Oreochromis niloticus: one gene and its partners. The protein of the gene in region 3 purifies or fractionates together with the protein of the main gene of each other region. This does not show direct contact. Links are inferred from orthologs where the notes say so. Each region holds a gene or a part of one and is shown on either strand. Other genes may lie near its edges.

Region 1 (7,067 bases), on a different chromosome or scaffold from region 3:
TTAAGTCATAAATAAATCAACAAATCCTGACAAGTTTTCAAGAAGCATTGGTTACTCAGAACATAGCTCCTTGTTAGTGCAAATGATCCTCTATCAACTCCTTTAAGAGACTCTGGAGGAAAAATGTCCACCACTCTCATTAAACAGAGACACATTGCCCACTCAGTCATTCAGTTCACCTCATCATAACCACTGGAGACCACCTCTTTGCTGTCAGCGTGCTTGGTTAGCACCTTGTTAGTCTGTGCTGGCTAATCCTGAGTGCCATCATCAGGCAATAACTCAGTACACATTTCAAACCTCAGAATACTAGTGACAGATTAAATAAACAGATTTCTGTGTAATATTCATTTTACAGCTGGAATAAGATGAAAATACCATTTATAATGTTGCAAGTCTGTGATGGTCGTCTTTGTTATTTTCTATTTCTTTTGTTTTATAAATTAAGATATTGTTGGAATTTGTGTGTAATTTGGGAAAAATAAAGGATAAAACAATTTACTTTGACTCAGAAGTCAGATCCAGCTTTAGCATTTATTTACATGAAAATTTCCAAGAAAAGACACATAAGAAAACAGTTCAGGACGAGAGTATTGGCAACTGCTATAGAACCTTTGTGTCAATAAATGTGGATTCAAACACTCTATAAAAGAGGAAATATCCTGGTTTTAGATATAGAAAATTATACCAAAATCTTTTGTTTTCAGCCTCTATTACAAACATTAAGAGAAACAAAATGTACTCTACAGGGTAGAAAACTGCCCCTTTAAAGGCTACAACTCCCCCTGTATTATGCTTCCAGGGTGACACAAGATTCTTTTTGTCTTCATTTTATTGTTATTTATTCAACCCTTATGCCAGGGGAGATAATGAAATATTCATAATAAGATTATAATAAGAACACAACTGTCTTAAAAGCCTTTAACATCCCACCAGAGTAAAAGCGATGGTCACACACCAGATAAAAATCAGTGAAAGGCATCTTATTTGAAAAATACCAGCGCCAGTCAACAACCCTGATATTTGCTGATATATTGTTGCATCCTGACTGATTTTACTACAGGTGAATGTATCTAAAAATTTTAATTTTGGTCTTGTTTGTGTAACTATGGGGCCATTATAACATCAAAAACTATCCTGTCTGCAAGCATCCACAAAATGACTAGCAATCACATTAAGAGCATTTACAGGAACAAATAAACACAGGAAACTCCAAAATGATCAAACTTTACAATAAGAACAAATAAAAACAGATAAAACTTGAATGTTTAGAGTAAGAAAAGCACATTTTCAGCAGAGTCCTCCCAGAGTCAGTGTTTGTGTGCATGTCTGTGACAAACACAAGCATGCTGCCCAAGTCTTTCTCTTTTCCCTTGAATATTTACTCCACGACCAGTTCAAACTCCTCAGCCTGGTCAAACTCTGCATTCATCTGTGCAGCCAGAGCGTCAAGTTCCGTGGTGTCTATCTGCTGGACCTTCTTCTTCCTCCTCCTCCTCTCCTTCACCACAGCCACTCCGGGGATGTCTGGGTCCGGCTCGGGGAAAGCTGAACCACCGCAGTCATCAGCCTCAAGCAAAGACGTGAATGAGTTCAGTCCTGTAAATGATCCTGCGGAAACCTCCAGGCCAAACTTGGACACCCCGGCTCTCCGGACCTCTGGGGTTTTCAGCTTCTCAAAGCCGAATAAGGTCTCACGAGACTCGGGGCTGTTGAAAGACTTCTCGCTGAGCCTGCTGTAAGATCGGCGTACCTTCTGCGACCACACCGCGTCTTCTGGATCCATCTGCGAGGGATGAGAAGCAGGCGGCGGTGATGAGGGTAGGATCGGTGAAGGCATAGCGGCCTTCTTTTTCTTCTTAGCCGAGGAAGAGCTGCTCTCTCGGCCGGGGACGGGACCGGGCGTGGAGACCTGCTTTTTCTGCTGGATGCCCTCAGAGCTGGACGGCCTCGGCGTGTTCTCCTTGTTCTGTTCCGATAACGCGACTGTTTTTCTGGGCGCTATTTTTCTCACAGTGATTGAGCGTTTAACAGCGAGAGACGGCAGCGCCATTTTGTTGTCACTTTGAGCTTGCGGAGAGCTCAGCCGCGGGGAACGTCTCCGCTGCGAGCTGTCAAGGCTATTAGAGTCCGTCATTATGCTCCGAGGAGTCCCTTCGTTCATCCCAACAGTCTCCTAAAGAAACTCCAGATCTTTTTTCTTCTCTTACAGCGGATCAGACTGTAACTCAACCAACACAGGGCACACAACAACAGCGAACGTTCAAATTGCCCGCCCGCGTCGCGTGGAAAACACGAGCTTCCTTTGCTGTGACGTAAACACTGTGCGCCGGCTATCACAAACTTTTGCTGTGTAATCCATACAGGCGAGGCAAAGAGACTGCTCATAATTTAATCTGTTTTATATAAATACTCCAACTTCTGTCAGTTCAACAGAATGGAATATTTAATCGGGATACAGGGACAGGATTTTGTCCTCGTCGCCGCTGATAATGTTGCAGCAAGCAGCATCATTCAGATGAAACACGGTATGACAACGCGTTAGCTTGTAGCCTTAGCCGCATAGCCGGTTATTTTAGACATACTTGCTAACATAGCTACATTTTAGAGTCTCTAAATGCATTAAACCGGCTTTCTGCTTCTAATAAGTAGTACTTGAACCATTTTTTAATTCTTTTTGCTAAATATTTACATGTAACTATACACTGTGAATGTGACTAGAGCTAACAAAGCTAACAGTAGAGTAGCAAATAATATGTTCTATCGCAGTTTGATTTTTTTTTCTCAGCATTATCATAACCTTTTCCTAGCTAATAGATCAACTCTACATTTCATTCGTAACTAAAGTTGGTAACCTTTGCATGAGCTGCCATAAGAAGGTTACTGACAACGAAAGTGAAAGTCACTGCATCACTGTGGAAATGGAAGTTTACTTACACTCACCATGGATAATTTTAACCTATTAATGATTTGTTTGATCTGTTCTTTTTGCAGGGTGAAATGATTGTATAGCATATATCTTTAATGAATAAAAAAAATGAGAGTTGGGAGAACAAGTTTCAATTTATTTCGTATTTTCACCAACCCACACAGGGTCAAATATATTCACACATCCTCAGGATTATTTGGTTCCCTTAGCAAGTTGTACCTTGATCATATACTTTTGGAAGCCATCAACAGACTTGCATAATTCTGACTGGGTTTTGACCACACTTCTTGATGCTTCAACCTGCAAGCTGTTAAATAGGGGTGAGGTTGAAGAATTTGGAGGTAGCCCTTCATCATTATTCTATGCATTTTGTTTAAAGTACCAGCACCACTGCCAGCAAACTGCCCCAGAGCATGATGCTACCACCAGGCTTAACAGGTCACCTCCTCCAAACAACATCTTGTCATTGTGGCCATATTTCAGTTATTGTTTTGTCTGGCCGTAATACTTTGATCGTTGACTGGTCCATGTTGTCTTGTCCATGTGGTCAGCAATTTTGGAGCAGGGGCTTCTTTCCTGGTGGGCACCCTCTCAGTCCATGGCGATGCAAACACCCTTCGCTGTGCACTGTGCCACCAGCAGTTTTTAGTTCAAGGTAGGCTTGAGCCTTGGTGGTTCCTGGGTTGTTCCTGAACAGCCTAATCAGTTTCCTCTTATCTGAGAGTGACAGTTTGCCAACACCTGGGGGAAGACCCAAAGTGGTGACACATCCATACATCTTGTACTTGCATACATTTGTTTGAACGGATGATCTTGGAATCTGTAGTTGTTCAGAGATGGCTCCGAGAGATCTTCCTAACTTGTGTAAAACTACAGTTTCTTGGGCTTTTTTATTGTTCTGAGTATTTGTCAATCCAAAAAGTGGTGTCAGTCAAATCCTTTTTATGCTGGAAAAAGAACAGTTCAGAGAAATCATCAATAGCCCAAAGTTACCATGGTCATGATTAGTGTGTGTGTGTGTGTGTGTGTGTGTGTGTATAAAGGTTTGACTACAAACTGTAAGACAATTTAGGAACAGACTAATGAATTTGTGTTCTTCTTTATATTTTTTCAGACTATGACAAGATGTTCAAGCTCAGTGAGAAGATTTTGCTGCTGTGTGTGGGAGAAGCTGGAGACACAGTGCAGTTTGCAGAGTACATCCAGAAGAATGTGCAGCTCTACAAAATGAGGAACGGTAAGGATCTCAGACATGATCGTTGTGATGCTGCTGGTCCTTATAGGTTTTAAGTTTAACTCTAAAATGTTTTCGGGAAACCAGTTTGCTTGCTAAAAACATTTATATCCAAAGTTTTGTGCCTTCTTTTTCTTAGGTTATGAGCTCAGTCCAGCAGCAGCAGCAAACTTCACGCGAAAGAACCTGGCAGACTATCTTCGGAGCAGGGTAAATGTCCTGATATATTTATTAAAAAAACAGAATAATGTAGTAAGACTACACGGATATAAAGTCAAAGTGGTCAATTTTATTTTAATTTTTGTGTCTCATTAATTTTTGCACCGGCTAATCGAAGACAGTGTGGTAAAGAGTTGGAAAACTGTAAATTATTTAAGTTATTTTTTTAATTTTTTGTTATAAAGAAGGTTTCTTTATTTCTCTTGCAATGAAGAAGTTTGGTGGTACCACATAACAGAAACCAGATAAGTAAGAACAAACTTTTGACAGATTTATATTTTACACATCAACATTGGTCGTGACTGGAGACAATCTGTACATCCCTAAGTACTACAGTCCATTTTACTGTGTGCTTCTTTTTTTTTTAATTGAAGAAGAATGGCTTCAAGCATTGTCTTTTAATATAAGAATTAGCTTGAAATTATAGGTGTATTCGTTATTTCGACAAGTAAAAAACTTTGTCTGAGTTGTTAGTTAATTTGTTGGCACAGTGAAGATTACCTAATATGATCATTCAATGCTGAAAACAATAGGGTTGCACTTGAATCCAAATTATATCAGTAGAATCAGATTTGATCATAATATTCTCACGTCTTTGTTTGTTTTTGTTTAGTCGGTTTTAGTTAGTTGTATTTCTTTTGCAGTGACCAATCATTCTTCTTTAGTTTGTGGTTCCTTGTCCAGCCACTTAATAGTTGTTGTAATAAGTAATACTTTAGGAAGATATTTTTTCTTAAGTGTACAGATCAGTTAATATATTACCTAAATGTCAAAGGAAGCTAAACATTTTTAAGCACTGAGTTGACTAAGTCAACACCTTGATGTTTATCTGTGGAGGAAAGTGTTGAGTTTCCAGCAGCATATGTCACACCATCAGGACCCCACTCTCTGTTATGGGCCCATTAATGTGCCGATTTAGACTTGTGAAAAAAGAGATCCTTAGAAAAATAAAATTCACAAACGAGTTCATACGTTTGGATAGAAAAAAGATTTAAAAAAAAAACACTTAACAAAGTGAAGAAAAAATATTTTACTTTACCTTATGTCTATCAGAAATCCACACATTTTTTATTATTATTATATGTTTGATATTGTAAAAATTATTTGTTGAATGCGGCCTCACCTGATTGCTATTTTTTTTTTTTTTTTTTTAAAAACTGTCACAGCCACGAGCTTGACGTAAAGCAGTGGTCGTAACCTGTGTTTTGTGAGAGCTGTTTTCTCTTGCCCTGGGGAAAATGTGGTCTTTTGAGACTAGAGAGCAGAGACTACAATCATAACCAGTATAATTGTTTGACTTCAGGTGCCTCATACACACTATGCAGACATAAAGAAGTGATATCTTTTGTGGATGAAAAATTTTCTCCACCCTGCTTATTCAGAGTTTGATCATTCTAACTGATCCTTTGCAGGTGAGTCTCCACAAATCACAAAGTTTTGCCTTAATGAGTAAAATCATAATTGGTGTGAAGATTTAAGGTTTCAAAAATGAGCGCAGATAAAACAAAATAAAGAAATCAGCAAAACAATGCAACATATATCATATTTGGTGTTCGGCTAAACATTTTTTCGTCACTAGTTTCAGATATGATTGAGCCCAAATGACTATCATGTCTAACAGAAAACAACCTGAGCTCGCTTAGTTTCCCCACAGATATGTCATCTTGCAAAGATGCATTTGTTCTGCCTTGGACTCTCTGTCTTCCTCCATATTTTACTTTTTGCTTCAAGTATACTTCTACCCTTTTGCCTATTTTCAAATCATCTCAACACTAGTATCCTTGTAAATTTTCTCTGTTAACAACAGTTGCTAATTAATCCCAAGTTCCAGTGGTCACTGTCTGAATTAAGCATATTCATCCTGGAGTAATGAATGAACATACCTATAAATATTTTAATTTCTATTTTAAATTAATTACAGTCTTCTGCCAGTATTTGCAATCTCATTTGGCTTAAGGGAACAAATGATAAAATCACCAACTAATTCAAGTAAGACTAACCATATAAGGTAGGTTTACTCATCCAATTTAAAAATGTATTTTAGTTTCTACTTGAAATTCATTTTCTTTGCTCAAAATGAAAATGAAAACATAGTAACAGAAGCCCTAAGTGTGTTGATGACACGGCAGCGTTGTGGTGGTGCTGAAGAGGTGGTATTACAGAGGAGCTCAGGTGGGAATGAACTCCCACTTGAGTTGGCACATGTGTTTGTATCATTGTCAGCTTGAGACACTCATGTTAAACCAGCAGATGCATTTTGACAGAGCCAGGTACATTTGTCAGCTTGTTGTGAAAGGTGACTGAGGGTTCTCCCTCTGAGATTTCCTGTAACACCTGAGCCTGCAGGCCTGTCTCTCACCCTCACTACGCAGATCTGCTGAATGTCTTATCAAAAAACTCTGGTTTTGACCTTTAGTGTTGTATTACATCTTTTACACAACAAGCCAGCCAAGACTGAGATTTCCAAATGCGCAAATTACTGCTACTTTATCTGTATTTCTTCATGCAGAAGTTATATTGTAATATATAGAGGTGGTGGTGGGGGGTTCAGTACCTTAACACTTTAATGTTAATTAACCATTTTATTTGTCTTTGTGTTAAAAATGTTCCTGGTGACTAATTTACTAGTAGCTAAAATATTTTTAAAAAGACTAGCCGAGTAGTTTAGTGGCTCTTTCTCATAGA
Region 2 (7,889 bases), on a different chromosome or scaffold from region 3:
TTTGGTTTGTGCTGATATCTTTGGAAAAAGGTTTCTTGACTGACAAGTTGGGATCTAACATCACAAACTGATATCTGGTACCACAATGTACCAAATGAAAATGGGCCTCTGTAGATGTCATGGTTCCCTTGCCCCCTTTTGCTGGCCTGCTGCTTTCTCTCTCTCCTCTTTTGGTGTGTGCCTGTGTTGTTGTCCGTGTGCTTGTCTTTTTTAGGGGATGCTCCTCCACCTTCCTGTCCTTCAGTCACTTGTCAACAATCAGCTGATTACTCGCCTGTCCCTCACGAGGTCTTCATGCTGGCTTCTAAACAACCAGATCATTGCATTACCAAGGTAACATATCATGCCACAGTCATGTCACATTTTCCATCAGTTCTTGCCTTTACTCACTCTCTGTTTCTGTGCAGACGTTTCAGCGCTACGGATCTCCACAACCTTCTGTGACAGTGTCTGAGTGTGCCTTCAGACAACCTTCACTACCTCTGCCCCGTCTCCTGGAGCCCACAGTGTTTATCCTGTATTCATAACTATCTGCAAATAAACCTGTAAAACTTTAACACAGTGTCTCATCATCATTCTGTTGTTTTCATAACAGTACACTTATGTAGATATTCCACTAAATCTCATTTGTGATTTATGATAAATGTTACCATTAATTATTTATATATCTTTACACTTCTGAATAATTTAGTAAAACATCAAAAAGATTTTTACTGTTGTCAGAAAATAAGACATTTCTAATTCTCTACAAACTTTTGAGCTGTAGTCTAGATTGCAATAATAGTGTATGGTTATTGTTTATAGCAGATGAAATAGAAGTATCAGGACAGGGTGTGAATAAAAGTTATGAGTTGTGTTGCTGCAGAGAAAGTTGTTCACTCTGGTGAGGTCTAATGTGTCTAATGGGAGGCTGAGCCTTCAGCTTTCCTGTCACTGTCCTGTGTAAACAGAAACGCTCTCGTCTTTTAACATTAAACTCATAACTTTCCTTTTTGATCAATCTTATAGCTACAGCTAGATCAGCTGACCCTGTCCCATCCTTTAGTTATGCTGTTATAGGCCACAACTGTATGGTTTAAAAATAAACACTCATAAAAAATCATTGTTTCATTGTCTGGTTTATTCTTTTTCCATTTATCGATTATCCAAGTCCTTTTTCCAATGTAATTTAGAGAAACAGAGAAACATATGTCAATACTAAGCTGTTAAGAGGCTACTTACAATAATCTGAAACCTGTATACAGGCTGTGATCAGCTGATCTGTTGCTATTGTTGACCTGAGGTTTACTGCTTTCTGTGGATTTACACAACTGAATCCAACAAGATGTACACAGATGTTTCACAGATGTTTCCATCCCATACACCAAGGCTATTCAACTAAAAAGGGACACCTGCATTCATTCCAGCCCACTTTAATCTGCGAGTGTAAGCAATATAAATGATACCATTGGACCTAAACTAATCAGTCTGTTTCTAAAATCTCAGAAGTAGACAGTGGAGATATTTGCTTACTCAAGTAAAGCACAGATACCTGAAAATTCTTCTTGAGTACAGTAACAAAGTATTTGTAATTTGTTACTTCCCAACCCATTGTCTCGAAAGTACCATTTAACAATATAAACCTCTAGGCTACACTCCCACACAACAACAAAAATCAGTATCCTAATGAGGTCACACGTGTAATGTTTATCTTTAGGTACACAAAGCAAGGGTGATCCCCAGCACAAAGACACTTTAAAGTGATTGGCACAGTGATTTTACTTCAGAAACATGAAGAGGTAGAAAGGAAGCAGCAGTTTTCCACTTTACTACTCTCTCTTGTCCTTTTGTGCAATAAAAAAAGTAATTTCAATATCCAGGCTGTATACTGCGCTACCATTTTCCTCCCCTGGTGCATGACCTGAAATCAGCTGGTTGTAGCTGAAATGCAAGTGGAACCGATAAGCAGGTGTCTTTATTAAATGTTTTTGTTACTACAAAGTCAAAATTTTATGATGGTTTCAGTATTTTAATCATTGCAAGCCCTGCATGTTTTCTGGAAGAAGAAATGACGATATCATTAATTAGATTATACGACATCCGAATCAGATTTTAGAGGAAGAGTTCACACCAAAACGAAATGTTTGCACTTTCCTATGTCCTATAATGTTATGGCTTCATTCTAAGACATCTGCTAAGGAAATGCCAGAAATGCCTGCCAATAAAACTGAAAAAAAAAGATTAAAATGTTAGTTTCTTCATGGCTCATAAAGCAGCAAAAATCAAAAAATTGAAAAACATCTGGAAAAACTGAGAAGCAATATCTATTTGCAGAAATGATAAACTGGTGACTTAACACTTAAGGGCTGGGGGTTGGGTGGGGTGCTCCATAACTGTTTTTGTCATGTAATTGGATTGCACTTTGTCAGGCCTCTACCCTAAGACCTGACCAACTTGGGTGTCCCACCTGAAGGCTAAGCTTCCGCTGATCTAGCTTTTAGGGTCACTGAGGCACGCAAACCCCCTGACCACGTTAAGGTGGTAATCTCTCAGGGGGAAAACAGAAAAACAAAACAACAAAAAATAAAATAAAATATTGCTAATCCGATTCTAACAACTCAAAACATGACATTTACCTTAACCGGATGGCCTATATAATAAATATATTCGAACCCAACAATAGTACGTCACACTACTGCCAATATCAACAAAACCAAAAAGGGTAAGCCAAGACATAAAAATAGACAATTCACAAAGTCTTGAAAAATAAAACTGAAAAATAGAAATAAAGAATAAAAATCCTCAATCCACTCTATAACAACAGTCTCCTGCTTCTCTTTCCAAAAATTCTTACAGATTCATCCATATCCAAGTTATATGTTATGGACTTCTCATGGGCCAAATTTCTCTTTCCTTTATGTAACAAAAGTAAATAAGCTTTACTAAAATCGCTGTAATTACATCAGTATATGAAACGAGGTAACTGTTGAGTGCAGAGTTGAAAGCTGGTCTGACAGACACAGGTGCGTCTGTGCAGCAGACTATGGAACGCCAGGACTGCCATAATGAATAATTAAATACACCATTAAATAATTAATTAAATGTGGCAATAATTAATTAAAATTGGAAATAATTAATTAAATAAATATTTACGACATATTTAATTAAATAATTATTGACACATTTAATTAATTATTTAAAGGTGTATTTAATTAATTCATTATGGCAGTCCTGGCGTTCCATAGCAGACAGGCTCACAGTGGGATTGAGAAATAAACACTTCTCTACCAGACTGAAACTGTGAGAAGAACAATGGCCTAGTCCCCCACTGACTGTACAAATATAAACTTATTTTTTAGTTGTTAATTATCGAGTTCTTGTGCATAAAAACATGTGGAAGTCTGTGAAAGTGCACCTTGTGTAGGAGTCGCAAGGAAAACCTGTACTAGAGAATGAGCTAAAGCAGCTCAACTTAGTTTCAGTATGGAAGCGCAGAGCTGCCACCCAGGCAAAAGAAAAATAGAAGTATATCACGTTATAACGTGAAAAGTTTATTGTTCTAACAAGATACTTTTCATGTTTGTACAATATACTTTTCACGTTTGAACAACATAATATCACGTTATTGCAATATATATAATTATCACGTTCGTACAATATAATATTTATATTGTACGAACGTGATAATTATATTGTACGAACGTGATAATTATATTGTACGAACGTGATAATTATATTGTACGAACGTGATAATTATATATATTGTAATAACGTGATATTATGTTGTTCAAACGTGAAAAGTATATTGTACAAACATGATAGTATATTGTACAAATATGAAAAGTATCTTGTTAGAACAATAAACTTTTCACGTTATAACGTGATACACTTCTATTTTTCTTTTGCCTGGGTGGCAGCTCTACGCTTCCGTAGTTTCAGTGTTTAAACTGTCATTTATATTTTTTCAAAGCAAAGCCCAATGCTGTCGCCACTGAGTGAGCATCAGCGCCCTCTGCAGTTTGTGTGTAGAAGTCAAAAAAGCTTACAGCACCTGGTATTCCCAGGCGGTCTCCCATCCAAGTACTGACCAGGCCCGACCCTGCTTAGCTTCCGAGATCAGACGAGATCGGGCGTGTTCAGGGTGGTATGGCCGTAAGCGAGAGAAATAGCACATAAAAGGCCTTTTATAGGTGGCAAGTGTCACCCAGTTTAATATACATTATTGCGTTTTACAGCGAAAACATGCAAACCTTCGTTATTAACTGCAGCTTCAACATTGAGGTACAAAAATGCTTTTCCCGCAGTAACATCTCAATAATAACACTTGTTAGTTTATTACAGCACCGTGTTAAAGTGACAGAGAGCACACGGTGTGTTAGGACGATTTGTAACGTCAACTAATGCCTTCTTATGAAGGTACGTCTGTGTATATCAGTGATCATTATATAACTAACCTAACAAACTCCTTTTGCCTTGTTTGCTTTTCCCATTATCTCTGCCTACCTTGGTGCTGCTGGACCCCGCATTTCTCTGACGTCCCTCACATGGGCCACCCCATTTTAAAAATCTTGCAAAATTTTTCTTAACAGCTTTGTAATTAAGTTAAATGTAACTTAATATCAAGGATACAAACATCATTGTTTATTTTCTACTTTTTGCCTTTCTTTTCTGGTGTGCAACAAGCATACAGGTTATTTATTGTTTTTGACTAAATAGTAGAAGACGTAGAGTGCTATCATGATAAAGCGTGCAGAAGAAAGGGGCAATAAATGTAGTGGGAAACTATTTTACAGATATTGTTTTTCTTATGGCGCCCATTCGCGATAATTCCGTTAATCTTGAGGTCTTTGTCGTCATCTGCTGTGCACAATACAGTACTACAGTCTCGCATTTCCGTCAGGCACTGTGTGGGCCAGCTCTTGCGACGGCGTTTTGGCTGGCGAAGGACCCACCAACGGCGGTTCAGCGTCGGCTTCTCAGGGTTTCAAGGAAATAGTTTTCGTAAATGAAACTTTATCCATCTGAAATCAGAGTCATCTTACTAAGCACACCGGTAAATATTATATCTTGCAGATCTGCATCTTTTCCGCAATTAAACGGACGTTTAATGTGTGTGAAGTTTGCACTAGCTAAAGTAATATAGCAAGAAAAAAAAAGGGGGGGAAGCGTTAATCAGAAGTGGCGCTTTGTATGAATGGGCCATGTTCTCAGACTCTTGGATTGATGTAAACGATCTTTTTAAGTAGTTTAAATTCGTGTTAAAGGAATGCGTGACCCCTATTGCACGGTTTAAAAGCACAGAGGGTAGTACATAAATGTCCGGGGAACGTTAATTTTCTCACAGCTAATGTTGAGCTAACGTTAGCGGCGCCGTAGGTTTTGTGTCCAGCAAACACTACACCGCTCCACCAACTTTTCATAGCAATATTGTGATGAGTGCAGTCGCTATGTATTGCTCCACAGTCCACTACAGCTGACCTCAGTTTGAAGATCCCTCATTTGTCACCAGTGCGACCGCGTAGCTTATTGTGACTTTGTCCAGTGGTCTCAAACTTCTTGATTCCTTACTGTAAATACACTTTTGGTTTTCTTTGTTTACAGTTCTGAGCCGGGTTAAGCGCTCTTTCAGCTTCCTCTGAATAAGATTTGAGTGGAAGCCATGTTTCTCTACAACATCACCCTGCAGCGTGCCACTGGCATCACCCATGCCATCCATGGAAACTTCTCAGGTGAATTTACGCCAGATGTCACTGCTTTATGTCTGGTTAGGTCATGGTTAATTTATCAAAGCTTGGTAACCCTCCTTTATTGTCAAAGAAGCCTTTAACTGCAATCTCTATGAGAATTAGCAAGCACATTTAATTGTTTTATTTAAGTATCTTTTCTTGTGTTTGTATAGTCATTAGATTTTATCCTATCATGGTGTTTCACTCATTATGTTGATGGAGATAATGTAAAGCGTAGTTTTCTCATGGTTAAAAAATACATAAAAGACATGTCACATAATGCTTTTTTAAAAGCAGGATTTAGGGAAAACCAACAAAAATATCTACGTGATATGTCTGATTTGTCTGTTTTGGTAGGAACCAAGATGCAGGAGATTGTTGTTTCCAGAGGAAAGATCCTGGAATTATTACGACCAGATGCCAACACAGGAAAGGTGCACACTCTTCTCACAGTAGAAGTGTTTGGCATCATCAGATCCCTGATGGCCTTCAGACTCACTGGAGGAACCAAAGGTACAGAAATTACATCATATGCACTCACATGCATGTGTTTGTAACTCTAAACATGCATTGCACAGATTAAATGGCATGTATTAATAATTTTCTCTTAAGTGGTTTTTATTAAATTTTTTGTCTGACACTGATGTATTGTTCGTAGTTGCTTTCTTTTTTTATTCATTTACAATTAGGAGGGGAAGTTGGCCTCCATTGGCTTTCATTACCTAAGCTTTAATTACATGATAGTATCATAATTAATCTAATGTTGACATGCAGGTTTAGTTTCTAAGTGATATTTATGTATTTTTAGATTACATTGTTGTGGGGAGTGACAGTGGTCGTATCGTCATCCTGGAGTATCATCCATCAAAAAATATGTTTGAGAAGATCCACCAGGAAACATTTGGGAAGAGCGGTTGCCGGCGTATTGTTCCTGGACAGTTTCTTGCCGTTGACCCAAAAGGCAGAGCTGTAATGATAGGTGAGAATTTTATGAAGTATGCATGAAATCAGCATTTGACCAGTATGAGGAGTCCATCCTATCAGACAGAACACAGATGTTTGTGCTCTGTTTAGTTTTATTGTGCTATTTTCCTTCTCTCGTAAGATGAGCACCCTTTATTTGACAAAGATGAACAAGAGCTAACTTTATCATACACACTGCTAGGATTTTATGTGTAATCTACTGTGGTGTGTTTAGCGTTGGATGTAATCACCACGAAAAAGCCCATTCAGTGCCAGGAAAAACCCTTGCATTACAAACCAACACTGAAAACTATGTACTCCAAAAGAGTCCATCAGTTAAGACTGATGTGTTTTAAAGGTATTTATTATAATGTATGTTTTTTGTTTTTTTTAGGGTTATATAGTGTGCGTGAATCTGCAGCTTTGAAACTGCATGAAGCTCTTTGCAGCAAGACTTTATACAACCTGGCCTGTAGTGATTTTTAAATAACTTAATATATAAATATATAAATAACTTATTTAATTTATTTGTTGTTAAGTAGGCTGCGTTTAATTTGAATCCTTTGAGTCCTACTTGCATTTGAGCAAAGTGGGCCTGGATAGCTTTATAACATCTATGTTTCTAAGTAGGCCTAAACATACTAACAGATGCCTCTCTTTTTTTTCTCCCCCAATTCAAAATTGTTCCATTTGGTAATAAATTACTTTTATGATTTGACAAATGCAACAAAACATGACATTTTTAACGAAACTGCAAAGTTGATAGGTTTTATAATATGTTTTGTGGCTCCATACAGTTATTTATTTATTCATTTATTTATTTATTGGCAAAGACAAAGGTTGTCAGCCTATTAGATGATAATTTGGTTTATAGGCTGATGATTATTTTTCTTATATTTGGGCCTTGGTGTGTTAGTATAATGTCAATGGTGTAAATATTGCTATAATTGACTTAACCCCAAGAGCTTTACAGGTGCTTAATATAATAAACCAGCATCAAATGCTATAAATTTGGTAGTTCTACATCAGATAATTTTACCTTTGACAGAAGTGCTTTGTGGAACAATTACGATGTTAAATAATGTGTGCTGAATTATTGTTGTTTGAATCCTGAAGAAAATTTATATATACACATATAAATAGTTGTATTAAAACCAGTTAAATGAAGCACTTTAATGTGTTTTGTCATTTATCTGACTAGGAGCGATAGAGAAACAGAAG
Region 3 (7,885 bases):
GATTCAATTTTCCATCAGATAACACAAAAAACTAATCACGAAAATTCAAAAGTTTGTTTTAAGGCTATTTTTGAGTCATTTCAAATAAGAAACGCACAGATTTGCTGCCGATTACAGTGTAACAATCTTTACTTCATCTTTGTGTTGTTCACCTAACACCAAATTTTATCTCTTATATAAATATATATGTGGGAAAGATTTATATGCAGGATGTGCAGTTGAAACTGTTACATTGCTGAAAGCTTATGTTGAGCTTTGATAAAAGTTCCTAGTTTGTCTTTTACTGTTGAAGTTTGGTGCATTCATATGAATGACAAGTATTTGCATTATCTGGAATTATATATTACCTAAAATCTGTTAGAGTAGAAACAGGCTATACCACTCAATGAATCCTGTATGGAGGAATTCAGTAAATGCAAATAACCATAGACACTAATGATGACACTCTGGGTCCTATGCAGACTCAGTAAAAATGGCAAACCTCTTCTTTCTCTTGCTTAGCCTCTTTGCGCTCTGCAGCGATGTTTTTCTTGCGATGATAGTTGAACTGCGTGTCCTCCTCTGCTTTCACCATCTCCTTCTTCCTCCGGTCATACTCCTGGGCCAGCTCTCCTGAACGGGAGATCTCTTCAAACAGCGCTGTACGCTCTTTGGGGTTCTTCATGGCAATAGACTCAACAGCTCCCTTAAAGGGAAATAAAGACAAAACTGAATTTTAAAATAGCAAATAAAATGTTACCTGGTGTTAATTTGATCTCTGGTCTAACTGGCCAAGTCACGTTCAAACCAATGATATACACACACACGCACACACACTAAAAACTTTACTACTGCACTATCCAATCAAAATAACCTAGTGGATTAGTACAGGAGTACTATGAAAGACTGCCTGTGCATAAATTGCTTTTGAAAAGATCTTGACAACATTTACAAGAATTAAATCTTACCTGAAAGACCAAGAAGTTCCTAGCCTTTATCAGAATTCCAAGTTTTTCCAGTTCTTCGCTGTATTCAGGCAGGCCCACTACTTTACTGTTGATGCGATACTCAGAGGAAGAACCTGGTGCATATTCCAAAAACAAAACAAGCATTAGCTCATCATCAACACACACAAATAATATACTATACTATTAAACTATATTATTTTATATACTACAGTAAAAAAGTGCATTTTATTTACAATTTATAAATGTAACAGATTTTAAATATTTTTTAAACGCCAAATGCCAAAGATGTGTAAAAATGTTTTCTTAGATGATGAGTCAATTTTTGAAAACTGATATCCATGCAGCTTTACTACTATCCTTTTATTCAGCTGAAAAGCATTCAAATATTACTAGATCAGTGTCTCTTAATTCACACAGACAACTATTCAAAAAGAAAGTTAATTTTATATTCAAGGACAGTTGGTAATGGAGCTTCGTACCAATAATGACTCTTGTGAAGGCACGTTCTTCTCCATTATCTTCCTGGTACACCATACTGACAAAGGCTCTGTTGGCAGCTGGCTTCCCTACAGGCGCTCCATGGATTAGATCCTTCAGAGTCTTCACACGCAGGTTACTTGTCTTCTCTGCCAACACGAAGCTGATGGCATCCATAAGGTTGGACTTTCCTACAAACATTGTGATGAATCTTAGTAAACTTTGGGACCTTTTTATATTAAAAGGCATATGTTAAGACCATGTTGCTGCCATCTACACATTCAGTCTCATACTGATGCACTGCACTGCAATATACATGGACTTGCAGTTATGTGTATAGGTTTTTAATGATTCATTTATACCTTAATATTTGTACACAAAGATCTGCAATGACATTTATACTTTAAGAACCCTTGAAAGCCTCATGCTTTTATACATAAACAGCAACAACTATATATAGGCTTTAATATCCCTTATGTAAATCATACTTTGTTACCTAATATTATTTTGTACATTGTATCTCAGATTCTTATAGTTTTATTTATTTGTTTTATTTAATGTTACATAATTAAATTATATATTTTTTAATTCTTTCTAGTTGCACACTGTGGGATGGGGAAACAACGATTAGATCCTATGCATGTCCTGTAAATATTACAGTAAGGTTCACTTTTTATTTGTAAAGTCTGGTACCAAACAGCAGTTCTGCAATAAAATCCATCTCATTGGCTATTAGTGTGCAGTTTTTACACGTTGTTTTGTTTGAGTTGATATGGCTAAACTTACAGGCCAGATAGTTTTGATGATGCATTGCACTGTATTACGAGAAAAGACCGTTGAAAGTCTTTCTCTTGTGTAATGGGTCCAACACCAATGTTTACAAATATATTACGTGCCTATACGACATAAGTGCTTAAACGGTCTAATGGAGTGACTTCAATAAAAATGCAAAAACGACATTCTACAAACTGACAACCATAAATACACCGAAATAAAGTTTAAATAAATTCTATAGTGCCAAATGTAAACATGAAACACTACGATACATCACATCACCAACAGTTGAACCTCTGTCCAGTTCAGCTGTGCACAGACTGAGAGTTATGATCCAAATAGAGCGGGGCTGTGGAGCTCTGTTTACCGTTAGGCACAGCTAGCAGTTTGCATTTCGCATTAGCTTCGAGCTTATGTTAGCTGTCATTACATACCAGATCCATTGGGTCCGATGATTGCAGTAAACTTGTGAAAAGGTCCGATAATCTGCCTTCCTTTATACGACTTGAAATTTTCGATCTCTATCAGTTTTAAATAACCCATCTCGTTCTATTTGTTTAGCTGGTCTGCAGTGAATATTAGCTTAGCAGTTAGCTAATGCTAACAACCAATGTTTACCCGGTAAGCTGTTGCAAAGACGCAGTGTGCACGAAATGAATGAACCCCTCTGGTCAATCTACTGCTGCTCTATGCACAAGTTACATTATGATCTGCGCAATCGTTTTAAAAATTAAAATAAAAATTATAATCTTTATCAAATATATTCGGTACGGCGGCGACAACAATGCGCCATTTTACAATCCAACAGGAAGACCCACAAGCGCGCGAGACACGAAACCTCACAGTTTCTCGCGAGACCAAATTTAGTTGTCTGGCGTTTGTCGTGTTTTGATTGTTATCTCGGCCTTGGATATCACTTTTTACTACTATTAATGCTACTTTATTACAAATTATACACATTATTAAAAAAATAAAAAGACATTTCCTTAGCTGGTCCTGTCACTCTCGTTATGTATTTCCAGCATATCGATGTGTGTCCACATGTTTCCATGGTTACCAAGCGTCTCCAAACACAACAGGAGCAGATTTTCATTCACTGATATTGACTGAAAGAAACTGAGCAGATTTATAACGTCAGCGGTAAGTGGTGTATGTCCATTTTTAAGGAAAAGCCATTTAATTTAGTCCACTTATTCTTTAAATATGCCTTTAAAGAAGCATTGGTTTTTGATGTTATCAGGTGATGACAGGAGCAAATCGCTCTGAAGATGAACCCCACCAGGATTTTATATTTCAATCGGCATAGTCATTTCTTTAATAATTTATTTTCAGGCAAGATTATCAGCTCTGATAATAAGTGTCGTAATGCTGTCTCTTTAGGAAGTCACTACAAACTTTGAACATGTACAAAGTGGATTTGCCTGTAGACGAGTCCACGGAAAAGGCTGTGGAGAGGCGTAAGGCTGCAGAAACAGCACGCAAGGCCCGCATTTTCAACACCCGGCTTCGTGTGATGGGTCTCGACCTAGATACACTAAACCAACAAGTCCAGGAGAAGAAACACCAGCAAAACATGGAGAAACAAAGGGACAAAGCTTTGGGTAAACTGAAGGACAGGGATGAGGTAGAATTAAAGCAGTATAATTGCAGACATAATTCCTGCAAGACGCTATAAATGCAAGTCCCCTGGTCCCCTTATTGTTTCAGGCCCTCTCCATTAATGAGCTTTGGTTGGTCACAGGTGTATTTTTAATGTATTACAGATAAGTTGAGAATATGCCAAGATGAAGTACTGGTGCAGCAGAACAATGCTGAAAAGGAGAAGCGAAGAGTTTTGAATTCTGAACTCACCAATTACTGGGCTACTCATCAGCGAGCAGAGGACTCTCGTGATGCTGATCTTAAATTTGACCTGAAGGGGGCATTCAAGATCGCCATTCCAGAGGATGAGCTAGGGCCTGCCAGTATGCAAATCTTTAAGGTAGGGCAGCTCTGACAAAGCAGGTGATTTGTATGCTTTAAAGACCGGGGGGGGGGCTCCAGCTAATGGTTAAATATGTAATATTGTTACCGCTTATGGTCATCTGTCCTTGTTTCATGCACAGGGAGAGGGTGTCGGAGAGGAGCTGAGGATGAGAGAACAAATAAGAAAGACAGAACGAGATCTGCGAGCACAGATGGATGAGAATGAAAAAAGGCACATGCGAGACAAGCACATAGGTGAAAAGAGACACACACACACAAGTACACACATTCACTAGCATTCCTAATGAGCTTACATCCTTTACTCTACAACCTCTGTACATCACACACATGCTTCATGCTTTCCTGCACAAACAATCATACACTCCCATGCACAGCCCTTATTACCAGGTGACAGTGATGGATGCTCATCCCTAAGAGCCTTACTGTAAGTGTGAAGTGTGCAGTTGAAGAGCCACATACAACCGCTAATGCAGGTGTGAAAAACACACATCAGATGATCCCCAAATCATGTGTGTCACAGAGATGCTTGTGAGCAAAGAGCTGGTGCAACAAGATGTGAGAGGGGCTCAGCAAGCTGCCCTCGAGGAGGTGTGTAAGAGAGCTACCCGCATCGCGCTCGACAACTACAATCAGGCTCTGGTACAGTATATGTGCACACTCACAGATGGACAAACAGATATGCACACACCACTCACTAATGTGAATCCTCAAGGCAAAAATCTAAGGGGGGGGGGCAAGCTGTGACATGATGTTGTCATGTGGGAATTGCAAGCTGAAAATGTCAAATGATGCATGCACACACTTGGTGCAGGATGGCGGCAATCATATTATTTGGCACCAGGCAACATGGATGGTTAAACAGCTTTGATGTATGCGTGGTTACTGTCTGTTTTTAAAAGCCCCCATTTAGCTCTTCCCTCATTTGCCTGAATGCACTCGGCTGAATCCCCCATTGGGAGGCATCATTGTAAATTCTTCAGGTCACTGTACTTTTTCATAGTGTTTAGTGGTTTCACTAATAACCACTCATGATGCACAAGCAAATACAGCTGACTGAGTGGCTCTCTCAGGACGACGTTCGCCATATGGCTGACTGGTAGCTCTATGCTAGGAGTAACCACATTTTAGAGACTGGGTTTTGCAATGCTTCTGAATCATCAGTCATCAGTGGGATAATCAATTAACTGTCCCTGGATCTGTGTTAAAGCCTCACCATGCTCTGTACACACAGGCTAAAGAGCAAGCAGAGAAACTGAAGGAGCAACACAAGAGAGAGGAACAGGAAAATCTGGCAGAGATGTGGCATACAATGACATCTGACATGATGACAGAGTGTGCAGAGGCAACAGAGAGACAGGTGGGAGGAGGGAGGCCACCACAGGTTCTACCAGACAGGTGGAAAGGAATGAGCCCTGAACAGCTGAAAAGCATTCAGCAGGAGAGAGAACAACAATGCCTTGAGAGACAGGTATTACACTCTGTACTCCACAGTAATATAGTCAAAGCTGCACACAGTATCCCACATATGGTATGTAGAATACCATGTGCACACAATCCCTTGAGTACTTGTGTGTTTTGTTAATGCGACTTCAGAGGTGGCCAGCGGGGGAATTGGGCGGGGCAAGTACTTGTGCTTTGGCACTGTGGGACAGAAAAACTCTTGTTGAACCTTAGACAGAACCAGGCTCAGGGGCAGGCAGCCATCTGCCGCGACCATTTTGGGATGAAGGGAAAGAGTTTTTGACATCTGTGCCAACTTTTCTACATGGGTTGTTTTCAAAAAGGGTTGTAAACTTTTCAGCTTTGAGGAGATTACTCATTCACAAAGAGAATGATCCTAGACTTGAAAAAAAAAAATTAGATGGAAATGTGAAAACTACAAAGTCTGTAATCACAAGTAAAAACAACCAAAAAAGCAACAGTGCAATATTAATAGTAAAAATATACATTTATATGAGATCTATACCTTCAGTCCATAAAATAAAAGAAATATATCAAGATAATTAAAACTAATGACAGATGAGTATAAATGATCATTTAAAACCAGTGAAATAAGTAGAATTAAAAGCACAAAGTTCATAAAACAAAAAGAAATAACTAAACTAAAAATACTTTAAAAAATATATTAAAATACTAATATCAGTCATTATTAAAGCAGAGTTAAGGGAGCCACCTGCTGAAAACACTCTTGACGGGTAGGTCATGAAGGGGATGTTGTGTGTCGTCCAGTATGTTTAGCAGTTTGTGCAACATCCTGCTCTTAATAACTACCTCTAGGGGCTTCAGGCTAGTCCCCAGCACAGACTCAGCCTTTAATCAGCTTGTTCAGCTTTCCAGTGTCACTGGCTCTGATGCTGCTACCCCAAAACAAACCTACAAAGAAGATTGCACTAGCAGTAACAGACAGTAGTGTTTTACTGAATTCATTAAATGACCCAGAAAGCCTCAGTGTTGCATTTCCAGTCTAGTCTATTATTGATGTGAATACCCAGGTTTTTGTAGCTCTTCTCCCACAGTGGAAAAGGTGTTCAACTTAGGTTTGTCCCTCCTTTTTGTTTTGTTTTAAACACTGCAAATGTTGGAGTACTCCTGGTGTGATTCAGAAGGTTGTTTCAGCAGCGAATCAGAAAAGATAAAAGCCACATCACCAGTATTGGTTAAGACTCGGTAAATAATCCATGAGGTCTGCAGGTAGCTTACTAGCTTGTCAGATAGATATTGAGGTCGCAAACATTGCGTCACCGTAAAAAAGCACTAACATCTAAAAATCAATTCTAAAACTAATTGGAAGCCATTGAAGTAACAGGAGCACTACTAGTGTCCATCAAGCCAGCGGTGCTCAAACCAGCATCCAGGCACTGAAAGTAGGTTTGAGCAAGTAATAAAAGGTCTTATTTTAGTGTGCTGGAGATATTAAAAAAATATACCATCATATATCAGTTTTCTCCTTATTCAGGATGATGGTATCTTCTTAGTCTTTCTAGTGTACTAAAATAAGGCCCTAAACTTCCTGTTAGTGCCTGGACCTGGATTAACAGGATCAACATTGATTTCAAGATGCAATAGTGGCGAGAATAAGCATAAACATAAAGTGCTAACACAGAAAAAAAACATTTGAGTGGATCCAGTTACCAAGCCATAAGACCTCCAGCAGATTATTTGGCTCTGAAGCTTTGCATTTTTCAGTGTTATCTACAGGCATGTTAAAGTCACCCAAAATCAGCATGAAATCAAAATCTGAGGAAGTCTGGGAACCTAAATCATTAAATAATGAAGCAGAATTGCCTTTAGGAGAACAAGTATAGTGCGTTTTTAGATTTATTTCCTCTCTGCCTTCAGAAACAGCAAGATGCTGAAAAGATTCGGGATGCAGCTTGGGACCTGAAGCTGCTGAAGCTGTCCAGAGAAGCCGAGAAGGAGGATCTGACAGCAGCCGAGCTGAGTAGAGAGCGGAGAATTCAGATGGACCGCTACAACATGCAGCTGGCCCGAGAACAGCTGGCACAGTAAGCACTGCGCACATATTCATGCACTCTCTGATTAGACACTAGTCAGCAAATGTGTTTTAGGCTTAGGTGATAAAGTATGGAAATATAGATTTCAGATTTTATAAACATTTTGGGGAACAAGCTACTTACTGTGTTTAAATTTCTGTTTCTGCCCCAGGCAAGAGTACCTGAATAAGAGACTGTACACCAACA
Region 4 (7,977 bases), on a different chromosome or scaffold from region 3:
ACTACTGGTGAATCATCTCTCCAATGACCCGTAATCTTTTTTTATATTTAGATCATGTGAACATTTTATCGTGTTGGTTGTCACTCTGGAACAGAGTCTCTTCCCTGTCTTTAAAACATCCAACACAAGGTTGCAACATACTATTCAACTAATGGAAACAGGCTAAAGTTGTGAAAGAAGATTTCCAATATTTCCTACAGTGCTTGAGCAACAGTTCTCCACACATATTGAAGGTCTTTCAAATCAGTTGCTTTTTCACTCATCCTTATACCGAACCACTTTTAGAGGAATGTTTTTTGCTACTAAAAACTCTGACCTATGAATCATTCGACCATTAAAATGGGTGTTGTGTTTATAAATAACAGATGCTTTAGCAAAGAAGCTATTTTAAATTGTATCATTAGGCCCTGTGTTACCAGCGGCCTGAACCTAGCCTTCAAGAAGCCTGGAGAACTAATTCTGAAGTAACAAAATTACAAGAAAGCTTGCCTAAGAGACCAGGGTGTCTTGGAGAATAAAAGTGGTCATAAAAAATACTACATTTCAAGTTCCCGAGAACAGAACAAACTCTGTTTTTGGCTCAAAAACTGCATTTCAGTTTGCATGTTTGAATAAATTCCTGCACCCATTTCCATTTTCAAAGCAAAATGGACAAATGAGTGGTGGCTCAAGACTTTTGTACAGTGCTATATTTAAATAATATGTCAGTAATTTAACAACAAATATTTTATCTTTTCTGGTATTTTTTTAAGATATTTAAATTTCACTGTTGAAGTATTATTTGTAGCACTTTGTAGTAAAATATAAAAAGAAAAAGGAAGATACACAAGGCAGGAGAATCTAAGTTTTGCATATATATGTTGTAAAAATAGAAAGGCCAAAATTTGTTGCTAAAAGCTCAAATCTTACCTAGCCAAGAAATCTAAACTGAGCACCTTATTGGCTGATTTAAAAAATAGGTTTGCAGAAAAACCTCCTATTACTTTTTAGGCCATCAAAACATTCCTACCTTGCCAAGGTGGATTTGCCAGACCCCGGAGCACCCCGCAGGAGCACAAGCACCTTCCCTTCCAAACGAAGCCTGCTGTTGCGGGCAGGAAGCTGTGGGGGCGCAGGCTGGGCCCAAGACTTTGGAATAGTAGCAGAAGGTTTGAGAGGTGCTTGAGAGAGAGGGCCATGAATCAGATAGGGGACAGACAAATATGAAGGTGTTTGAGCCACGGGAGTAATAAAGGCCGGCATCTGGTTTCCATGCATACGAGGAGAAAACACTGGTGCCTCCAGGTTCCAGTGTTTTGATAAGTGGTCGAGCTGCTCCGGATTCACTGTGTTCATCTTGGATCTCGCTCCTCTGTCGGAGTGCATGACCCCAGCGTTCTCTGAAAGAGTGTGTGTCAGCTCTTGCTTTTTATACACCTGGAAAGCAGAGGGACGCCCTGAAGCTGCCAGGTCCAAGGCAGGTTTTGGGGTGTTTGCAGATGTTTCTGTTGTCAGGTGTGTGAAATCCACTACAGGTTGCTGCCCTTCTGTGCTCTTTTGTTCCCATGTGCTGAGCTGGTCGAGCGGAGAAGAAGCTCCAGATTTATGCTCTATGAAACGTCCTTCAGGGCCAAGCCGCTCAGCAGAGGGCTCTCGAGATCCATGGTCCAGGCTGGACTGAAGCAACTCAGGGAGAGCTTGCTGAGGAAGTGGTGGTGGAGGGAAAGAAGAAGAAAGCGATGCACCAGAAGATAAATATTTGCTGCTGTGGTGCTCCTTACCAACATCCTGTTGCACAGCTAGTGTCTCTAACTCTTGATCAACCAGCAGGTCAAGCTCTTCTGTCAGCGGGTTTGAGGAGGGAGGAGAGGAAGGCTTCTGTGAGGGTTCAGAAAAGTGCTGTGGGGCAAGCAAGGCTGCAGCAGTGCGCTCAAAGCCAGAAACAGAGGGTGGGGCAGCGACTGTGTCTTCAGCAGCCACAGAAAGTTCCAAGAGGGAGTCCATTGCATGTTCAACTATGACACAAAAAGACAGATAAGATAAGCAGAACGTTTTCATGCACATCTTAAATGTGTTAAAACGGCACTCAATATCTGAGTGCCATTTTAACACATTAAACAGCTTATACAGAGCAAAATAAAACCACTGATTTATTTACTCACTGTAGAGTAAAATCTATGGATCAGCCACAGCATGAAAAACTGATGATTTGTTACTTGGTAGCTATGAATAAGCTCCATATGTTTGCTCTTCAGTGACTTTACATCCTCAGGTTGTCAGAAGAGCATAAGCAGACCAGGATGTCAGAGGTTTATAAGGAGACTCGTCAGAAACAAATCTGGATTTGTTTTGGATTTTAGACCTTAGACAGGTGAAGCCGTTACACACAGAGTCACGGATGTTGGATAAATTACTTGCTGCACAGCTGCCATCTTTAAGGTGGATTCATGCCTATCCCAGCAGACGCTTTTTATTATTTTATTATATTTTATTGTATAGCTCCTGTTATATCTGTGCATGTATGAGGAATAAATATGCGCTGCAAGTTAATGTGAGTACATAAATCGTCATTACACGCGAACAGAATTTTAAGTGTTTCTGAGACTATAAATATGCTAACAAAATAACACAGACAGCATATGTGGTCTGATATTTTCGTGCATCATCTTGTTGTGGGACTTCAGGTTTTACTGGAGAGCAATCCACCATAGCACCTCTGCTCCTGGACTATTTAAGGTGCGCCTTTATCCAAAAAAAAACAAAATGGAAATTACAAAATGACTGATGGTAGTCTTTGTGCCTTTGTATTGTTATATGTCGGTCCTGATCTGCCTACAAAGCGTAGTAAAACGCCTCAGTACTGTCAGAAATGCATGACTAAGAGGCTACACTGTACACAGCTAACTGGTTAGTCAAGTTACAACAAATACCTTTCCCAAAAGTAACACGGCGCGTCTGTCACGTTACCTTTGAAGTCACACTCGGAGAGCACGATGTAAATAACTTCGGGGTCCAGATGTGAGAACATCTCCTGCATGCTTCTGACGATCTCATCGTTGACGGTATTGGGTGGAAAGTTGCTGGACATACCACCGCCGTGTCCCTGCTGTAGTGGGTAACCCGTGCTCTGACCGAGGTTTCCCCGCTCATTTGGACCGCCGTCGGGGAGCCTGCCCGGACTCTGGCCGTTTTTCTTTCTCCGAGGCATTCCGTTGGTCACCAGCTGCTCTCATTGGCAGCTAACAGAGCTAGCCAAGTAGCCTATGACCTACAGGAGGACGGGTCAAAGCTGAAAACATGTTGTAGCTCCAAAGTGCAAAAACTCTGTAATGCTATCTATAGCAGTACGAACGACAACACAAGTGCACCGGAAGCAAACCACCGGAAGTCAAAAGGGTAACTTCAAAATAATAGGCTGTTTCTCAGTACGCCTACTTGAAACGCCCACAGATTTCCATGGCCTTTCAGAAAAATGTCACACCCTGCTGTGGAAGCTTGTTTCCGCCATTGAAAAAAAATATATATCCATACGTCAGAGTTTCGGGTAATCATACGAAAATTCGAGTTAATTGTAAATTAGATATAATTACGTAATTTATATTTATTAACTTAAACATCTGAGAAAATACCTTGCGATTTCAAATTATCAAGTCAAACTTTGAGAATATGCCCCCAAAATAAAAATCAAATAAACAAGTAAATCAAATAAAAACTAAATTTTCCCCGTTTTTATCTGTTTTAGACAAGCGTCCATACGAAACTGCTCAGACTGAGCAAAAGTAGCAAAGACTGAAAATTACTATTGCCTCCTTAAACTGTTAGATCGGGCATTCCCAAAGTAACCTCTTTTCAGTCACTATGTGTTTATAGTTATTATTAATCAGCGCCCCCCACCCAAGCCCAGACTCTGGAACCTTCCCTTTGAGCCTGAGATCTGTGGGCTTTTTGATCTCTTTCAGAAACCAGCTAAAAACTCATCTTTTTCAACTTGCTTTTGAGTCACTGTTTGTTTCAATGTTTTGGCATTTTGATTTTTTAATTTTGGAGCACTTTTGGATATTTATCTTGAAGGGTGCATAAATCATTTTTACTTAATTATGTTTACTTTTTAAAGGTAGCAGATATAATTGTTGACAGAACCTGTTTTACCAAAGACATGAAAACATAATAGCCATAATGAGCTGATTATGTTATACTGAAAGTTAAAATGGCAAGGATGGATTCAGTAACTGTTGGGATTTATTATAATAGCATATACGCATTATAACCATTAAACACTCTCCTCACTTATAGATAATCAAAAATATCCTCATAATTATTTATTCATCAGTATTAATTCAATATTAATTAACCCTGAGAACACAAATGCATTCTGTGCATTAAAAGCAGCTGTAAGAAAATGCTTGTGTGTATCAATTGATTTGCACATTTCCCACACTCACTGAGAAATCCCCCCCCCCCCCCAACAAAAAACAAAACAAAGGAAAAACAAACATACACACAGATGTGGCATGTACAGTTTCAAGATGTCCAAAAAACATAATTTTTAATCGATTTAACCCACACTGGTGGATCTAAAATCCATCTGAATAAACATGGGTCACATTTTACCCAGCACAACCTCCCTGTATAAAAAAGTATAGTACCTGCACAACTGTCTAAAATATTTTGGGTCACTTTAGGAAAAGTCAACAAATTTCAGGCTTAAAAAAAGGAAATTGATGGTAGTTTGAGCATATGTCTCAGCATACGTAAGAGTTAACCCTGTTGCAAATAACATTTAAATACAATTATATTTCCAGTGTTTTGACTATGAATAATGTGTGTATGTTATTATATGCCAGTTTAGATAAAATAGTATAAAGATTGCATTTAATGAGTTCAAAATGTTCTTTAATATGAGCTCACTTTAAGGATAAACCCACAGTGGGTTGAGGAACAGAAAGTGTGCCAGCTATCGGTTACAGACTCCCGCCATGTATGTGGTGCATCAGTACCCGTCTGATACTGAAGGGGGCGTTCTGCACCCAGCCTTCACACAAACAGCACTGACTGAACGGACAGAGAGCTTTGTGCCGAAAACTAAGCCCAACCTGTGTCAGACTAATGAATTAAAACGGCCTGTTTAAGAGGTAAATACTACCGAGGAAGCGCTTGGCAAACAACCCGGGGTTTGAGTCGCAGTCGTATATTTGAAAATAGAGTCATTTTGCATTTGTTAGGGTGTTCAAAATCATCCGTGGGGCAAGTTGGTGTTGAGAGAGGAGGGCTCAGGGCGACGGTAGCAGCAGCCCTTCTTTCGCCTGTGAACTAGCGGCAACACGGAGCGATGCTCGGAAGTTGAGAAAAGACAGTAACAAGTAAATTAGCTTCATTTTTAAACTTCACAAAGTAGTTGCATTAGTTGTAAAGCACAGGAACTGGCCACGAGCATGGCTATTTTAGGCAAAGAGGAGAGGATACTTAACTTCCTCTGTGATTGTAGCTGGAGATGTGATGGGTACCTGAATAGTTTGCGGCCTAGGCTAACCAGTTAGCTAACGTGTACTAGCCGCTCAATGCTAACTGCTAACATGACTTCCTTCCCGCAAAATGCTAACCGCTAGCTAGTAATGTTTGCATTGCAGCTAGCGTGCTAATGTAATAACCAGTATGACAGTAGATATAGACCAGCGCCTCTCGTGTTGTTATTTAAAGTGATTTTACAACTGTTTAGCTGTAGTAATAGCTGTGATATTACCGAAACAGCAGCTGAAATCGTTTCTGCATCCAGGCGATGATTTAGGAGAAATCTACGGAAAATGTAGAGCTGATGTTTATTAGCTTGCACGTTTAGCATGCAAGCTAATATTATGCACGATGCTTGTTTACTGCTTGCTTTCCGTCTGAAAAGTTAACCGGATTAGAATATAGTTAAATATACAGGTACGGTTTTATCAGTTTCAGCAAACAAAATTAATGATTGGCAAATAAGGAAGATGCTTAAAACGAGGTTTTGGTAAGTGCGGTAGCATGGTTGTGTTGAACTTTTGTTTTCTGACCCATAGAGGCCAGTAAAAGACCGTGTGGACCATATATCAACAAGCATGGAGTTCCCGCAACAGCAGAAACCGGCGGGGGAAGGAATCATCTATCCTCCTGGAGTTAAAGAGATTACGGACAAAATCAGTAACGATGAGATGGTCAAACGATTGAAGGTATGTTTAGTGGGGTTTCTTGCTGTAATAAAACACAATTTGTGCTGCCCTAACGTCATTTAAGAGTGTCCAGCCCATGGCGCAATGCCAAAAACCCTTCTAACTTTGTAAACTGCTCTATATTAAGTCATTATTGGCCCTTGTTGTCTTGGCTCTTATTTTGCTTGTAAACAATACTCCTTGTCATGTTGTTCCTACCAGAGTGTTTTTAAATTTGAGTGTGACACCATACAAAACAGGCGGCGGTATTGTTCATAGGCCTAAACTTTTTCTAGGCTTTCATCCTATCTCCCCAGGCTGGAAAAATGGGATGGTCCCAAAATCTGAATGCAAGAAAAGCAAACGTTACACACTGAAGCTATTTTTACTGCTGGTGAACAAAACAGGAACAGTGAGTCATGTTTAAGTAAGATTTAAGAAGGGACCCGCAGTAATAAAACTGATTATAAACAAGAGTCTTCTGACCTTTTTGGATGTAAATAAAACTTAAGGAGTTACCACATCTTTAAAAGATGTGACAGCTAGAACTAGCCTAAAAAGCACAACAGTGTTAGGCCATACTAGAAGTATCTTTTATCTGTTTTTATTAATTTGGGGCAACTGTAAGCCAATTTTTCTTAAATTTGTAGGACTAAAATATATACACTCAATGGCCAGTTTGTTAGTCACCCGTTTAATTTCTTGTTAATGCAAATTTTTGATCAATCCCATGGCAAAAACTACATGCTTACATGGTCAAGAAAACTGTCAGAACATGACTTAAGTGAAGAAAGATGATTTAAGTGACTTTGAAAATGTTAGGTGTCAGATGGACTGGTATGATCGTTGATGCTGTGATTTTCAAAGCAGATGGTAGGACTGCTTTGACCTTATAGGAAGGCAACAGTAACTCAAATAACCATTGATTATAACAAAGGTATACAGAAGAGAATCTCTGAACCATTGAGACATTGAACTTTGATGAAACAGATGGGCTACATAAGATCAATTTGCCTGCCACTCCTATCAGCTAAGAACAGGTCATCTGATTGTTGTGGTTTCTCTGTATTTTTGTATGATTTCCTATACAATATCAAGCACCTTAAGGTGATTGTTGTTGTGATTAGGTGTTATATAAATAAAACTGAATTGAAATGAAATTGGGGCGGCGTGGAGTTTGCGTGTTCTCCCCATGTGTTTGCGTGGGTTCTCTCCGGGTACTCTGGTGAGGTTAGGTTAAATGTTGATTCTAAATTGCCCATAGGTGTAAATGTGAGTTTGAACGTGGTTGTCTGTCTCTATGTGTTACCCCTGCGGCAGACTGGCGACCCTGCCTCTCACTGAATGACTGCTGGGATAGGCTCCAGCTCCCCCCACGATTCTGATAATGATAAGCGGAAGAGAATGAATGGAATGGAATATATTGGAATTGAAACTGAGTTCCACAAAAATAGTGCACCATAATATTGGAAACACATTGCCTGCTTTGATTATCCTTGATTTCTCATGTGTCATTCAGATGATAAGTGTCAGAATTATGTGTAAACAACATGAAAGCATGGATCCATCCTGTCTTGTATACACAGTTTCAGGCTGCTTGTGGTGTAATGGTGTATGAGATATTTTTTTAGCACACAGTGGGCCTCTTAGTATCAACTAAGACTGTTTAAACTCAACAGCCTTCTTGATTATTGTTGCTGTTCATCTCCATCCATGTATGAGCACAGTGTATCAATCGTATAATGGTTGCTTCCAGCAGGACAACACACCATGTCGAATTATCTCACCGTGGTTTGTTGAACATGACAATGAGCTCACTGTA

What was found. Proteins that work in one complex are often made in the same cells at the same time.
Region 1: the proteins of structural maintenance of chromosomes protein 1A (region 3) and cdca5 purify together in Homo sapiens (affinity purification with mass spectrometry; 7 studies listed by BioGRID and IntAct, counting the BioPlex papers as one, with this or other methods). This does not show direct contact. The link is inferred for Oreochromis niloticus from reciprocal best matches to the Homo sapiens genes SMC1A and CDCA5.
Region 2: the proteins of structural maintenance of chromosomes protein 1A (region 3) and sf3b3 fractionate together in Homo sapiens (co-fractionation; 3 studies listed by BioGRID, with this or other methods). This does not show direct contact. The link is inferred for Oreochromis niloticus from reciprocal best matches to the Homo sapiens genes SMC1A and SF3B3.
Region 4: the proteins of structural maintenance of chromosomes protein 1A (region 3) and pds5a purify together in Homo sapiens (co-immunoprecipitation; 8 studies listed by BioGRID and IntAct, with this or other methods). This does not show direct contact. The link is inferred for Oreochromis niloticus from reciprocal best matches to the Homo sapiens genes SMC1A and PDS5A.

The regions. Positions count from the first base shown.
Region 1 is NC_031985.2:14,016,646-14,023,712, reverse strand, and holds cdca5 (sororin), read right to left. Parts: upstream 2,197-7,067; 5' UTR 2,165-2,196; coding exon 1,382-2,164; 3' UTR 516-1,381; downstream 1-515. Other genes in the region: psmb2 (proteasome subunit beta type-2), read left to right, coding at 2,438-2,528, 4,044-4,166, 4,303-4,373. UniProt on the Homo sapiens protein: Regulator of sister chromatid cohesion in mitosis stabilizing cohesin complex association with chromatin. May antagonize the action of WAPL which stimulates cohesin dissociation from chromatin.
Region 2 is NC_031972.2:7,732,599-7,740,487, forward strand, and holds the start of sf3b3 (splicing factor 3B subunit 3), read left to right. Parts: upstream 1-4,874; 5' UTR 4,875-5,032; intron 5,033-5,580; 5' UTR 5,581-5,638; coding exon 5,639-5,708; intron 5,709-6,062; coding exon 6,063-6,218; intron 6,219-6,513; coding exon 6,514-6,684; intron 6,685-7,869; coding exon 7,870-7,889. UniProt on the Homo sapiens protein: Component of the 17S U2 SnRNP complex of the spliceosome, a large ribonucleoprotein complex that removes introns from transcribed pre-mRNAs.
Region 3 is NC_031984.2:20,061,123-20,069,007, forward strand, and holds the start of structural maintenance of chromosomes protein 1A, read right to left. Parts: upstream 3,012-7,885; 5' UTR 2,742-3,011; coding exon 2,633-2,741; intron 1,616-2,632; coding exon 1,427-1,615; intron 1,061-1,426; coding exon 948-1,060; intron 686-947; coding exon 482-685; intron 1-481. Other genes in the region: ribc1 (RIB43A-like with coiled-coils protein 1), read left to right, coding at 3,601-3,799, 3,962-4,179, 4,304-4,418, 4,705-4,823, 5,416-5,652, 7,524-7,690, 7,851-7,885. UniProt on the Homo sapiens protein: Involved in chromosome cohesion during cell cycle and in DNA repair. Central component of cohesin complex. The cohesin complex is required for the cohesion of sister chromatids after DNA replication.
Region 4 is NC_031971.2:22,049,725-22,057,701, forward strand, and holds the start of pds5a (sister chromatid cohesion protein PDS5 homolog A), read left to right. Parts: upstream 1-4,962; 5' UTR 4,963-5,111; intron 5,112-5,165; exon of another isoform or gene 5,166-5,339; intron 5,340-5,653; exon of another isoform or gene 5,654-5,904; intron 5,905-6,026; 5' UTR 6,027-6,065; coding exon 6,066-6,176; intron 6,177-7,977. Other genes in the region: n4bp2 (NEDD4-binding protein 2), read right to left, coding at 1,010-1,994, 2,947-3,187. UniProt on the Homo sapiens protein: Probable regulator of sister chromatid cohesion in mitosis which may stabilize cohesin complex association with chromatin. May couple sister chromatid cohesion during mitosis to DNA replication.